Regions from separate parts of the Mus musculus genome. Here all the other regions are reported to be linked to region 4. The links are microRNA targets in miRTarBase. Many come from high-throughput screens and were not tested one by one. Region 4 holds a microRNA gene; each other region holds the end of a gene's coding sequence.
What was found. Region 4 holds the annotated microRNA mmu-miR-340-5p (UUAUAAAGCAAUGAGACUGAUU, at 2,068-2,089, opposite strand). A microRNA usually pairs through its seed, bases 2 to 8, with sites in the 3' UTR of a target mRNA and lowers its output. Matches are read on the target gene's strand: a 7mer-m8 pairs with bases 2 to 8, a 7mer-A1 pairs with bases 2 to 7 and ends in A, and an 8mer does both.

Region 1 (3,219 bases), not on the chromosome of region 4:
TGAAGACTGGCCCGGAGAACAGCAACACAGATACTTTGTGGAGGCCTATGCCAAAGTTGGCCCCATTAGGTTTAAAAGTAGCTAATCCCCCCAGTGATGCCGATGGTCAGAGTCTCAAGGTGATGCCTGCCTTGGCACCTATAGCTGCCAAAGTTGGGTCAATTGGACACAAAATGAATTTAGCAGGAATTGACCAGGAAGGCCGGGGGAGCAAGGTGATGCCTACATTGGCACCTGTTGTACCTAAATTGGGCAACTCTGGAGCTCCATCAAGTTCATCAGGGAAATGAGCTTGTTCATCCTCATACAAAAGCCAGGCTGTGAGGGGAAATGAATTTCACCTCCTTTCTCTGTAGGCGTCTGTTTGTTTGTATTATGGAACTATTATCCTTGACTTAATTATGTGTGAATATTGATGGAGAAAGGAGGTGTAGGGTGCTGGTCCTGGTGTTTGAAATTCTGATCATGTTAAAAATGTGTTACCTCACTTGTGGTGCTGGGTCCCCTCATCTTCTCTAAGAAGGTGTGATTCCCTCTTGCCCAAGGAATTCATAACAAGATTCTGGCTCCATCAACTACCTTATTATTTTCCCCTGAGAAAATGCTTGAGACTTGGAATTACTATAGACTAAAGTATAAGTCATAGTTGTTGGCTCCAAAATCTGAGAATTATGATACAGTTGTGTGGGAAAAAAAAAAAAAAAGAACTTTTAGTTACTATTTCAATAGTAGGGCATGGTAGGACTGGGCATGGTAGTGCACACTTGTAATTCCAGCACTTAGAAGACTAAAGCAGAAGGATTGCAAGTTTGTGTCTACCCTGGCCTATCAAGGGGACAGACACACACACACACATACACACTTGTGGGGGCCAGGGGAGTAGGAAGAGAGAATGTTATAGTAGGTAGGATGAATATTATGGAATACCAAAGTGAAGGGATTTTGTCATTCAGCAGACTGTTTCATATCCAGAATAGTTCTTCCCTTACCCTTTCAGTCATAATTAAAAACCTAAGCTTTCTGGTAAAGTAGGAATATACTTTTTACTTTTACTATTAACATACTTATTTTCAGAGACTAAAAAAGACATACTTCTCCCTTATTTCTTGGGGTATCACAAAGATTCATTCATAATACCAGAGATTTCTACTCATTGTTTTTTGGAAGTAGACATAGAGGCAGCCCTTCCCTTTCCCAAATCATGTCACTCAAGAAACAGCTAAAATGAAAAGCAGTTTCTCCCCTAACCAGAGACCGTAGCCAAAATAAAAATTTGTGGGGCTGGGTATTTCCCAAATGAAACCAGCCTCTAGGTGCTTGAAGGTTTTGTTCACTGTCACCTGCACAGGATGTAAAGAAAAGGCGAGTCAGAGTGAGCAATCTTTACCAGGGAAGTAAGGCAGTATTTGAGTCACAAAGTATATTTTTTATCTGCTATCATGGCATCAATGATCTGTAGAGCTTTTTCACTCATTGGCTGTCAGGGTATGAAGGACTGACAACCTGTAAAGATGAAGATATTTATATTTTTGTATAGTTGTTTTCATAGATTTCTCAAAGGATGAAGTTTTCGACCTAGAAGAGATTTGTATTGAGTATAGAAATGTTTCCTATCTAGTTTGTAAATAATCATGGTGCATTTGAGGGGTCTCTCGGGAACTCGTGAGGCAAGAATCACTGTTCTGAAAATGTATAGACTGAGATGTAGCTGCTGCATTTGCCTTTCTTAAATAATTATATTTTGGAATGTAACCCGTTCTGTCTTCAATGACAGGATTTGCTTGTGTTGTAAAAACACTTTAACACAAGTGCTTCCGGTGCCTGGGCTGTGCCTGGGTGATTGTATTTCTTTTACACTACTGCGTCTTTATCCTAAGTCCCACTCTGTATCCTCTGACCTAGGTTGTGAGACCAACTTTGGAATGAATCTAGCCAGTGAATTACTTCTATGTTTGATTTCCTTTTTAGATTAACTCTGATAATCACTAGATTGAAATGATGAAAAACTTACACTGCAAATGGCAGTGGTAGTAAATCTTTCATTGGTTTTGCGCTGCTTGCTCTAGACAGGTCATCAGCACTTAACCTTTCCTGTTTACTACAAAAGCTGATAAAGTAAAAACAGTATTCCTCAGCTTCTCCTCTGTCCCTTCTGTCCTTTACCCAACTGACTTTATCCAATGCCTTAGCCAAGGAGTGCAGCACCTGTCGCCCTTGCTAGCAGCTGTCCTCAGAGACGCTAGTTCTTTAGCCCAGGTATAGTAGTTTCCAGTGGTCTTATTGCCTGTTTCTTTCCCGAGTGTTCTTCTGGCTTCCCAGAGCCCTTTTGGGTTTTGAGAGTCAGACAAGAAACAAAACAAGGGAGTGAATAATCCTCAGGAAACAATGGACCATTGTGGCTTCCGAATACTTTTTTCTCTTTTCTTTCCTTTCCTTTCCTTTTCTTTCTTTCTTTCTTTCTTTCTTTTTTTTTTAAATTTGAAAAAGCATAGAAAAAAAACAGGTCAGGGTTTATTCTTTATTGGAAGATACTTGCCTGTGTTTATGAAAGATGTACAAAGATAGAGATGAGATTTGGTTCAGGGAAAGCTGCAGATGTCATTACAAACTCCCAAGATACATTGTTCTTAAGACAAATTTAGGAGCTATCAGGCCGAATTTGAGGAGGGTTTAGTCTTTAGAACAATCATGTAGTCTTGACAAAAATAAAAAATCTCCCTAAACTCCTACCCTTTAGCATTTCATTAGGAGAAACTGATCTATTAAAATTATATGTATGATTATGAAAAGTGAATTCAAGTGAGAACATTGGAGGAACCTGGAAAAAGCTCCACCCTGACTAAGAAGCATGATCTCAGTCGACCAATAACTCGCCTTTTATACACCTGTAAATACATGGAATGTTTTTAAGGATATAATTATGTCAGATTTAGCATTTTCTTTTATATATTAAATATATATCTTTAATTTCTGCTTTTGAAAGTGATTATTTTTTTAGAAATAACAGAAGTTTGGCAGTTGAAAGGCAAGACATGTGAACCTGAAATAAACCAATTATACTAATTAAAGCAGAATTTGGTGTTGGGAGGTTTGTGCCTGGTTGAAGAATTCTTTATGCCCTCAGACATATTTGAGAGAGGGTTCCATTGAAGAGATCTTTTCTGAAGCTTCTTGACTGGAAAGCTTTCGATCTGTCATTTGGGAAGACCTTTGGTATTC
Region 2 (3,221 bases), not on the chromosome of region 4:
AAGCACCACCTCTGGATGACCTATGAATCAGTGGTCACAGGTTTCTTCCCATTCTTCCTCATTGCTACAGTCATACAACTTTTCTACCGTGGCCGCATCTGGAACATTCTCCTCTTCCTGCTAACAGTGCAGCTGGTGGGCATTATCAAGGCTACCTATGCCTGCTTCCTTCGAGGCAATGCAGAGATGATCTTCATGTCCCTCTACTCCCTTCTCTATATGTCCAGCCTCTTGCCAGCCAAGATCTTTGCTATTGCTACCATCAACAAGTCTGGCTGGGGCACTTCTGGCAGGAAAACCATTGTCGTGAACTTCATTGGCCTAATCCCCGTGTCCATCTGGGTGGCAGTTCTTCTAGGGGGGTTAGCCTACACAGCTTATTGCCAGGACCTGTTCAGTGAGACCGAGCTAGCCTTCCTAGTCTCTGGGGCCATCCTGTATGGCTGCTACTGGGTGGCCCTCCTCATGCTGTATCTGGCCATTATTGCCCGGAGGTGTGGGAAGAAGCCAGAACAGTATAGCCTGGCTTTTGCGGAGGTGTGATATAACCTCCAAGTAAAGTGGGAAATGTGCAATGGGTAAGGGAGGGAATGGAAAAGATGGGGTGGGAGGGAGGAGGGTGTGTTGTGTTCTAGTTTCATGGCTGAAAGGACCGATCTGAAACGCAAAGAATAGTGACTGTGGTATGGCCTGGGTAGCTCTGCTCAGCAGAAGCATGGCATTGGGCAGATGGGCTTGTATGTTTCTAGGCTGCTCATCTGCCTGCCCTTGCACAGGTAGTGAACTCTTTGAAATGATTTTACTTCTTCCTGGGAACTATTGAGAACCCAGAAGTGTGCTAAAATAAGTGCTAAATTCCATCCTATGTCAACTTCTGGTACAGAAACAAGCAATGACAGCTCATAGAATATATCCTCCTAGCCCAGCTGAACATGACAAGGAGTTCCTGTCAAGTGTTACTGTCCCATACCGGCTACTGTCCCATTTCCCTAACCTCCGATTAGCCATCAATGCGTTAAGACTGTGCCTGAGATAATGAGGCTGGGAAGCCTGACCTTTGGTCAAAAAACAGGGTCTAAGAAATGGTGCTTTATGTAATTAATATATTCCACTCCACACCAAAACATCCCAGGGATGAGCCAAGTCACCAGAAGTAAGGAATGAGTCTGGTGGGGATTTTATCTGTTTTGGGTGCACAGTACAAAGCAAAGTCTGCAATGCACCAAACAAAAGCCGCCCAGTTGTTCTGCTGCACATTTGTCATCCCAGCACTTAGAAGCAGAAAGAGATGAGAGGGTCAGGGTTAGGCTAGACTACATGAGATCCTGACTGTCTCATACAAAAATGGTTTGACGGGAGGATCAAAGATTGCGTTGGTGCTAAAAACCATGGATGCCTTGGAGTGAATGTGTTCCAACTGAAAACTGCTTGGTCTTTTACAAAATTCCCCAAGTTGTCAAGAGAACTTGCTGGGCAGACTGGATGTTTTAGCCATCTACCGGGAAGACTCAACCCCAGTGGATTCAGATAAGAAGTCTTTAGTTATTCTAGCTCATTCCTACCTGAATGCCTCTCACATATGGCTCTCATCCTGCTTGCTATTTCAATCTCTTCAGAGCCGCGCATGTCGCTTAGTTGTTGTTTTCTGGTGGGGAGAGCAGCAGTTACCTCTTCATTTTCATGGGTAAATTCCCATGTGACCATGGTAGAGAATAGACGCTTACAAGGCTTTCAAGGCTGTTCCCTACATGCATGGACGTAACAACAGCCTCTGGCCACACTGTTCATCGTCCAGGACTGGTCAGGACTTCGGCAGCTGGTTAGTTAGCATCTGTAACTTTCTCGACAATCATTCCCAAAGGAAAGCTTTCTGGAGTTGCCCAAATGAACCTTCAGATCCATGTTGGTCATCTTTGAGAGCATCCATTCTCAGTGGCTTCTCCAAGGAATTCTACGGCTAGAATAGTAGATGCACCTCCATTTGCTGCTTCAGTCCAGAAACCAAAGTAGGAGCTGGAACCGGTCCAACAGTCTTCAGTCCTCTTACAGCCCTCACTGGCTGCCGATTTCCTTGTTTCTCTTGAGGAACGAGGAGAAGCTTTTACACTCTTTTGAAGTCAAGACCAGATTGCTTTGGCATTGAAGCGTGGGCTCGTGACTAAGCCTTTGACTTTGTGGGCTACTTACAATTTCCCTGAACATTTGTTCTCTGAGGGACCAGCTAACCCTCAGAAGCAACTGGGTTGGAGAGCAGTGTACATAGGTGCTTCCTACAAAAGAATGAAGTGCACTCCAAACCACCAATGGGCCATCCCTTGTATTTCCCTTCCTCGTATGAACAAAAGGGGTTTTCCAGGTGTAGCTAACAGTTGCCACAGCACACAAACCTCAAGTTGCTAGGAAAACTGCTGGCTGGTGTGAGGCCCAACTCATGGTGGCTGAGGAGCAGCAGCCGTTTGTGACAGGCAGTTGCTCTGGGGCCTTCTGTTAAGAAGTGAACTATTTGAGCACTACAGTGGAGACAATCCAGTCAACTTCGGGGCTCAGACTAAGGGCTTGTTTTTCTTCAGCTTTTACTTGAAGGTTACAGGACAATGGACTCTGGATGAAAACTGGTTGTCTACCGTCAGCTCTCTGCCTTGCACTGTGGTCAACTCTCCTCAGATTAAAGATGCAGGTACAGTAGTGAGCTTACAACATTTGACCTCGACTGGATTTCCTAATTTATTTTATAAGCAGCAAAACTAAACTGGGTCTACAGCTATATCCCTGTTTCTTGCAAGGGAAGAGCCTTTATACAATTAGACTCATTTTGGTTTTCCTCATTGACAATTTCAGCCTCTTTTGTATTATTTCTACAATAATTTGTATATATTTTTTCCTGCTTTTTTATTAAATAAGGAGGGAACTTTATTTAACATTAAGGGTGGGAGGGAATCAGAAAGGAGGATAATATTCATATCATGCTCTTGGCACAGCCACTGAGCACAATGCACAGGCCTCGTGACTCTTAAGCAAAGTCACAGTGTACAGGTGTGCAGCTGGAGCTCATCTTCTTCAGCTAAGCTTTTATCCGCGGTTCTACCTTCACCTTGCCTATGACCTGCAAAGTCCAGGAGGTGCCCCTGTTCCTCCAGGTTGCCAGACAGGTCATAGGAACACCTCAGAAAGTGTAGAACTCTACCAGGACCCTTCTCAGAATGATCCTTCTCTGCTTCACA
Region 3 (3,235 bases), not on the chromosome of region 4:
TCTTACAACTTCTTAAAATGGAAATAGTGTGGTTTATGTTATATGTTATGCTTTTAAAAAACTATAACTTTGGAACCTGAGAGACATGTCACGTGCTGATTAAACTTCTCTTCTAAGAAGTTTTTGAGGCTCAAAAAAAGGTGATAGTGGAATGAGTTTTCCCAAAATGGTCTGTGAACAAAAACAGAAAATCAAGAAAAGGAGAAGAAAGCAATTCTTTATTTTTCCAAATATATTAGACTCAATAATTTTGTTAGTGTCAACAAAACTTTACCATATATCATCCAAACCAGGACATAATAGGATTTAAAGAGAGGGCTACTTATAATTACACAAGTACAACAAGTATAAACCTCGATTTTCCTGGGCAGACTGGATCCTATGATCAACCTAGGAATAGGGATTAAACTGCAAGTACATGCAGAAATCATACTGTTCCCACACGTATGCGGAAAAGGTCAAAGTGTACTGATCACTTGGATTGAGTTTTGGCAACACTGGCTCTTTCTCGTCAGGTTTTTCACTCCTAATGTTAATCAACTCCCTAAATATCATATTCTGAATACATATCATCCTATACCCATTTCCATTACTACCTTGTTTTCATTTTTCTAATTGAAATGTTGACTACTGAATATTCTCTCTGTGTCTCTCTCTGTCTCCGTGTCTCTTGCTGTCTCTGTGTCTCTGTCTCTCTCCGTTTCTGTTTCTCTTTGTGTCTCTCTCTGTGTCTCTCTTGTGTCTCTCTCTGTATCTCTCTGTCTCTCTCTCTTTCTCTTGCTGATACCATGTACATGTCTAAATCCCCAGGAACTAAACTAAAAACAAAAAAAAAAAACAGAAACAAAAACAATGCCTAGGTCAAAGAAGGCATGCAAAAATTTTGTTAAATGAATAAATTCAGAGAGCATGTTTTTGGTTCTTTGCAATACCAAAAACAAATTAAAATGACTCTCTGAAGAATATTATGGCTCTGTATAGTTTTAAGGTGTTGGACTAAATGATCTATGCAGCTTCCTCCACTGCTAAATATACGATACCCACTGGTCCCCTTTTTCTGTCTGCTAATATTTCATCACCTCCATGTAGCAAATAAGAACATTTGGTGATCAAGGGGTAGGGCAACTGCTCTATTCACAGTGGATGGATGCTAATGTTGATCATTTCTCCAGTAGTAATTCCCTGTTATGTGTTTGCACCTACAGAATTTGGTTGATACAGAGGTAGCCAGAAGATATAGTGGATGATATACTGTAGATGTAATAATTTGCCTCTAATAAAATTATCGCAGGATCACTAAACAATAAGGAATGCTGTGTGCTCAAACCAACCATCAGTGATTTATATATTAATGAAAAGTTAAATCAATTCTGGGCCAAGTTGGATTATTACAAATCCCTCATAAATTGTGTAGGAAAATCTACATTAGTATGCAAAGAAGTACTTCTGCAGTTTCAAAAAACTTTTTTATTCTAAAGCTTTGTGTTCAAGGTATACTTCTGACCAAGTTTGATACCAGTCAGATGTTGGGGGTTGAAAGCTAGTAACACTAAAATTATTCTGAGGCCAGGGATTCAAGGCAACAATAAAAGAATTGTTCAACACCAAGACAAAACCAAAAAATCCTGAGTGTACAAACATTGTCAGATCATTTGATATTAATTTCTCTCAGGTCTGTGCTAAACTCTGAGTGACAGACCTGGAATAGGTTTCCAGACCAGTAAATAGTCTCTCCTTTCACAACAAATGCCAGAAACAGGAGAACAGTGTAAAGGGAGTCTCTGTTAGGCATATGCATTTCCAGCAAAAGAATTTATCATCTGTTTCATTGTGCTGTCATGTCTCCTGAAATATCTACAAGTCTTTATGGATGACAAAAGATCCGGAAAAAAGAAGAAAACATTGGCAACCAACTCATTTGGCCACAGGCACTGTTTACCCTGTCAGTTTCACATAGACTCTGACATAGTCACAATAAGCTACTGACTCTTCCAATGATTCCGCATTTGTTCAGAGCCCGTAGTTTTATTAGAGTACAAAACCAAATTCCAGATATTAGTTAGCTTCAGAATCGATGAGTTAACTAACTTTTACTAACCCCTCCCCCACCCAAGTTCTAGTGACTTCTAAAAATCATAAGAAAAGTTCAGTGATGTGTGCTATGTACCAGCACACTCTAAAATTTACAAATTAAATGCATAATAATGATGTCTCTGTGGTGTCATTTGACACCACCAATCTCTGCTATCTTTTCATGGTAAAGTACAGTTGAAAGATTCCATGACGGCAACAGCAGAAAACATTAAATCAGATTTTTAAGTAACAAATAATTTAAGGCTAAAATATTTGGTATTCATAATCAATGCCAGCAGCCTTTCTAGTCTAATAAAGTAAACATGCACAAGAAATACAAATTTGAACAAAACATCACAATTTTTATTAGATATATATGTTTTTATGGGTATGTTTTATATATATGAGTATTTGTGTGTATGTGTCTGTGCATATGCATGTATGTATGTATGTATGTATGTATGTATGTATGTAATTTTAGTGCCCTGAAAGCTATTCACTCATGTTTGGCTTAATACATATATTAGAAATTATGGGGAGAATATCTCCACTTCAAATATATATTTATATATTTTTCCAGAATATTCAATATAAATATGCCATATATAAATCATGCCATAAAACTAAATGCAAAATTTGCACATTATTGCATGCTTGATGTGATAATACATGCCGACTAGTAGCTTCCTTATGATGTCCTCCCTTCATAACTTATGTTCAGCACAATAATAACACTTCAATGAAGAGTTCTCTGATCTATTTGCCAGGCTAGGATAGACCTCTCAGATTTCATAGGGAGGATTATCTTATCAGCCAAATATTGGACTAATACTAAATCAAAACATTAAATAATGCCTAAAGGGGTGTTTTGCTATGTGAAACGGTCAGAGTTCATTTTTCTTAGTTTGGCTGGAAGATTTCCTTCCATCCTGGTAGGTCCTCCAGCCATCTTTTGAAGCTTTGGTGGCAAATCGGCCACAGACTGGCTCATGGGATCAGATAACATCTTGGTGGTTTTAGAAACCAGTTTTTCTTCCGAGTTGCCAGGAACTGAACTTATTCGTTGGAGTTTCATGGGCAAATCACCCAAACTATAGGCTTTTTCTGAGGTTGTAGAACTCATTCTCAGAAGTTTTTTGGGAAAGTCTTCTCTCCCCGTAAT
Region 4 (3,000 bases):
CACACATTCTGGCCTAACTAATCTGGGGTTTTTGTTGCCCTTAAGGATACTTCTAAGCAGTTCTGGAGAACCTGAGAGAGCCGATAGGTCAGGAAATGTACTGAAAGGACATTCATTTACTGACTTTGATAGTTACAGTGTGATTATGTAGAACAACATTTTCTTTCATTTCTTTTTCTTTTTAAAACTGAGATAGAATATGGCCTGGAACGCCTGCGTAGTCCAACTGGCCTCAAAACCCCGAGTGCAGGTATTACAGGGTACAGCACCATACTTGGCATGTTTTTATCTTGTTGTTGTTGGTCTTGTTTTTAAATATATGACATAAACAAGTATTATCACAAGATCCTCATGGATTACGGCTGGCTAGAGTACTGGTTAGCTCACCTGGTTCCTGTCCCGAGCATTTGTGTACCTGATCTTCTGAATGAAGTAGAATATGAGCCACGCTGAAGAAATAATCATCAAAACAATAAAGGAGATTGACACGAAGACTAGAGAGCCACGGCTGAAGTTCTTTGGCGGCATTCGAGTTCCAACAGCTATTGTCATTTGTACAGAGATGTTTTTCTCCAGATAACTCAAAATATCCTTACCCCTCAATTCTGTTATCATGACAGCAATAATATCTCCCGTGCCTGTAATGTAAAACAAATACACAGACTAAAGTGACATCTGAAATTCATAGACACATCAAATAAATATACACATATGCTCCATAGAGAAATTACCATAATTTTCACTAAGGTTTATAGATTCCAGTTCAACTGACATGAGGCTGCAGCTGTGTAAACTGACAGGCATGAGAACATGTACAGTGCTCCAAACAGGTAACGCATAAAGCAACTGTGGTGTTAACAATGCACAAACTGCCTTACCGGTGCATTAGAAGCACTGTGAAAGCAGCCACCTGTGACTAAATCAGGTTAAGTCTTCAGTAGAAAACCTTTCTATAGCAATCAATCTGGAAAGTTCTGACAGAGAAGCACTGTCATTTACAGTCTGAACAGGTGGTCCTTGCACTACTCATCCTCACACGCACTGCTGAGCAAGGACTGCTCTAAGAAACAGAAAGAAGGGTACTTCTTAGGGCACACACTTGGCTATGGAGTGACAAGTGCCGAACGGCAACATCTTTTACCAACAACCTTTGAAACTAACTTTGGTCTTCTGTCTACAGTAAAGCTCCTTCCAGGGCACTTCTGGAGCTCAAACGCAACAATTTTCCCACCCAGTTTGGAGCCAGCATCTCACATTGCCTCGGCTAGCCTCAGACTTGAGTTTTATGTTAGTTTTCCACCTTGTTTAACCATGCCCAGCGCACTCAAATCCTCTAGGCAGGCCCAAGTTTCAACTTTCTGGACTACTACCCATAATGATACCTAAAACCTTCAGTTCCTAAAAGCTGTTCAGAGTTCTGCCCACAGGCACAACTTTTATAAGTTAATTACAAGGATGGTTCAGTTGTGTTTTCAAGTCCTTTTCTCACATGGCTTCAAGGGCCTGTTTTAAGTCAGAGTGAGCAGCTACTCACCAAGGTCACTTTTGTGAGTATGAAGGAGGATTGTGCATCCAAACACAAAATACCCTCTCAAAACAGCAAGCAGAGACCCCAGACCTGACCTTTTGAAGGCTCTGTCAACAAATATTAGAAACACTTGTTTTGATTTCTTGTTACCTTTAGCAGTCAAGATGAGACACAACAGAAACTCAGTAACAGAAGTTTTGAAAAAAATATAGCTCAATGGAATATATATTTGCATAATACTGTATTCAAAACGGTTTATTCACTTTATTAGAGTAGTAGTTTACCAGTTTATTTTTGCTTAAAAAATCTATAAACAAAAAGGAGACAACAAAATTAAAACTAGCATTATTAAGTTAACATCTGCCTCTGGTGAGTGAGTTAAAAAGAATCATAAAAGAATGCTAAACCAGTTTAAATTTCCATTTAGAAACCTTAAGTTTGTGCTTTTACAATGTTGATCAACAGGCATGATCTGTGGTGTTAAGATACCAGGTATGGCTATAAAGTAACTGAGACGGATCCCACAAACGACATATGACAATCAGTCTCATTGCTTTATAATCACACCAAGTACAATTGGTTTTAGAAATCAGTTCTGAGGCTCCCTCTTGAAGACTCAAGCTGGAAGTGGGGAGAGCTGCACAGGTAGCCAAGGCAACCAATCCAGTAATTTCCTTAACCGAACACTAAATGGGCGCGTCAACTAATCTCAACAGGAAGCTGTTTGGGAAAGAAAAATTTAATTAGTTCAACACTTGTCAATATTCACTGTTAGGAGGACAAGAGTGAATAGATCTCACTGTAGCTTTATCATCCTAGCAAAAAGAGGAGACTGGGCAATGTTGCCAAAGGAGACTGAAAATGATCAAATAAAAAAGTACAGCAGCACATCTGATATTAGTGAAGGCAGTGATCTCTTACAGAAGGTGATGAAGCAAACTACAAACCCTCCTAGGAAAAAAGTTTCTTTCTCCCCAACATCTAGAGCTGGGCTGGGTTCAAAGAGCCTAACAAGATGGCTCAGACATTTACAAATGGGGATGGGACTAAAGAGATGGCTAAGAGCACTGGTTGATCTTGCAGAGGACGAGGTTTGGTTCCCAGCATCAATATGGCAGCTCATAACTACTGTAACTCCAATTCTAGAGGGAACAGACACTCTCTTCTGGCCTTCGAGGGCTCTGTACACATGGTGCACATAGACTCATGCAGGTATACACACACACACACACACACACACACACACAATAAAAAAGTAAATAAACCTTAAAAACAAAACAAAAAACTCTTGGGAGAGTTGGTGCAGATTCAGGAGGGATGATGACAACAGAGGAAACTTAACCCTCAGGATAAAACTAGGATTAGAGTAGCAGTAGCTGGTAGGAGAGAGGGGTTAATTAGACTGAAGTAATGGAAACATTAAACAGATACAAAGAATGTGACCAGATCACCCCTATGCCTGTGTTCTGAAA

Region 1: miRTarBase lists Mga as a target of mmu-miR-340-5p. The part of its 3' UTR that is shown has no 7-base or 8-base seed match.
Region 2: the mRNA of Has3 is a reported target of mmu-miR-340-5p. Seed matches in the 3' UTR shown: 7mer-A1 at 2,729-2,735 and 7mer-m8 at 2,792-2,798.
Region 3: the mRNA of Kcnj3 is a reported target of mmu-miR-340-5p. The part of its 3' UTR that is shown has no 7-base or 8-base seed match.

Annotation. Positions count from the first base shown.
Region 1 is chr2:119,964,676-119,967,894 of GRCm38, forward strand. It overlaps Mga (MAX gene associated), which reads left to right. Exons shown (of 24, transcript NM_013720.2): 24 at 1-3,219. The coding sequence ends at 290. Among named protein-coding and RNA genes, the nearest start is that of Mapkbp1, 6.4 kb to the right of the region's middle.
Region 2 is chr8:106,878,286-106,881,506 of GRCm38, forward strand. It overlaps Has3 (hyaluronan synthase 3), which reads left to right. Exons shown (of 4, transcript NM_001331048.1): 4 at 1-3,221. The coding sequence ends at 543. Among named protein-coding and RNA genes, the nearest start is that of Has3, 9.1 kb to the left of the region's middle.
Region 3 is chr2:55,595,107-55,598,341 of GRCm38, reverse strand. Kcnj3 (potassium inwardly-rectifying channel, subfamily J, member 3) reads right to left here. Exons shown (of 5, transcript NM_001355118.1): 5 at 197-3,235. The coding sequence ends at 2,945. Among named protein-coding and RNA genes, the nearest start is that of Kcnj3, 160 kb to the right of the region's middle.
Region 4 is chr11:50,068,809-50,071,808 of GRCm38, reverse strand. Mir340 (microRNA 340) reads right to left here and starts at 2,107; the gene lies at 2,010-2,107. Rnf130 (ring finger protein 130) reads right to left here. Exons shown (of 9, transcript NM_021540.4): 3 at 388-638.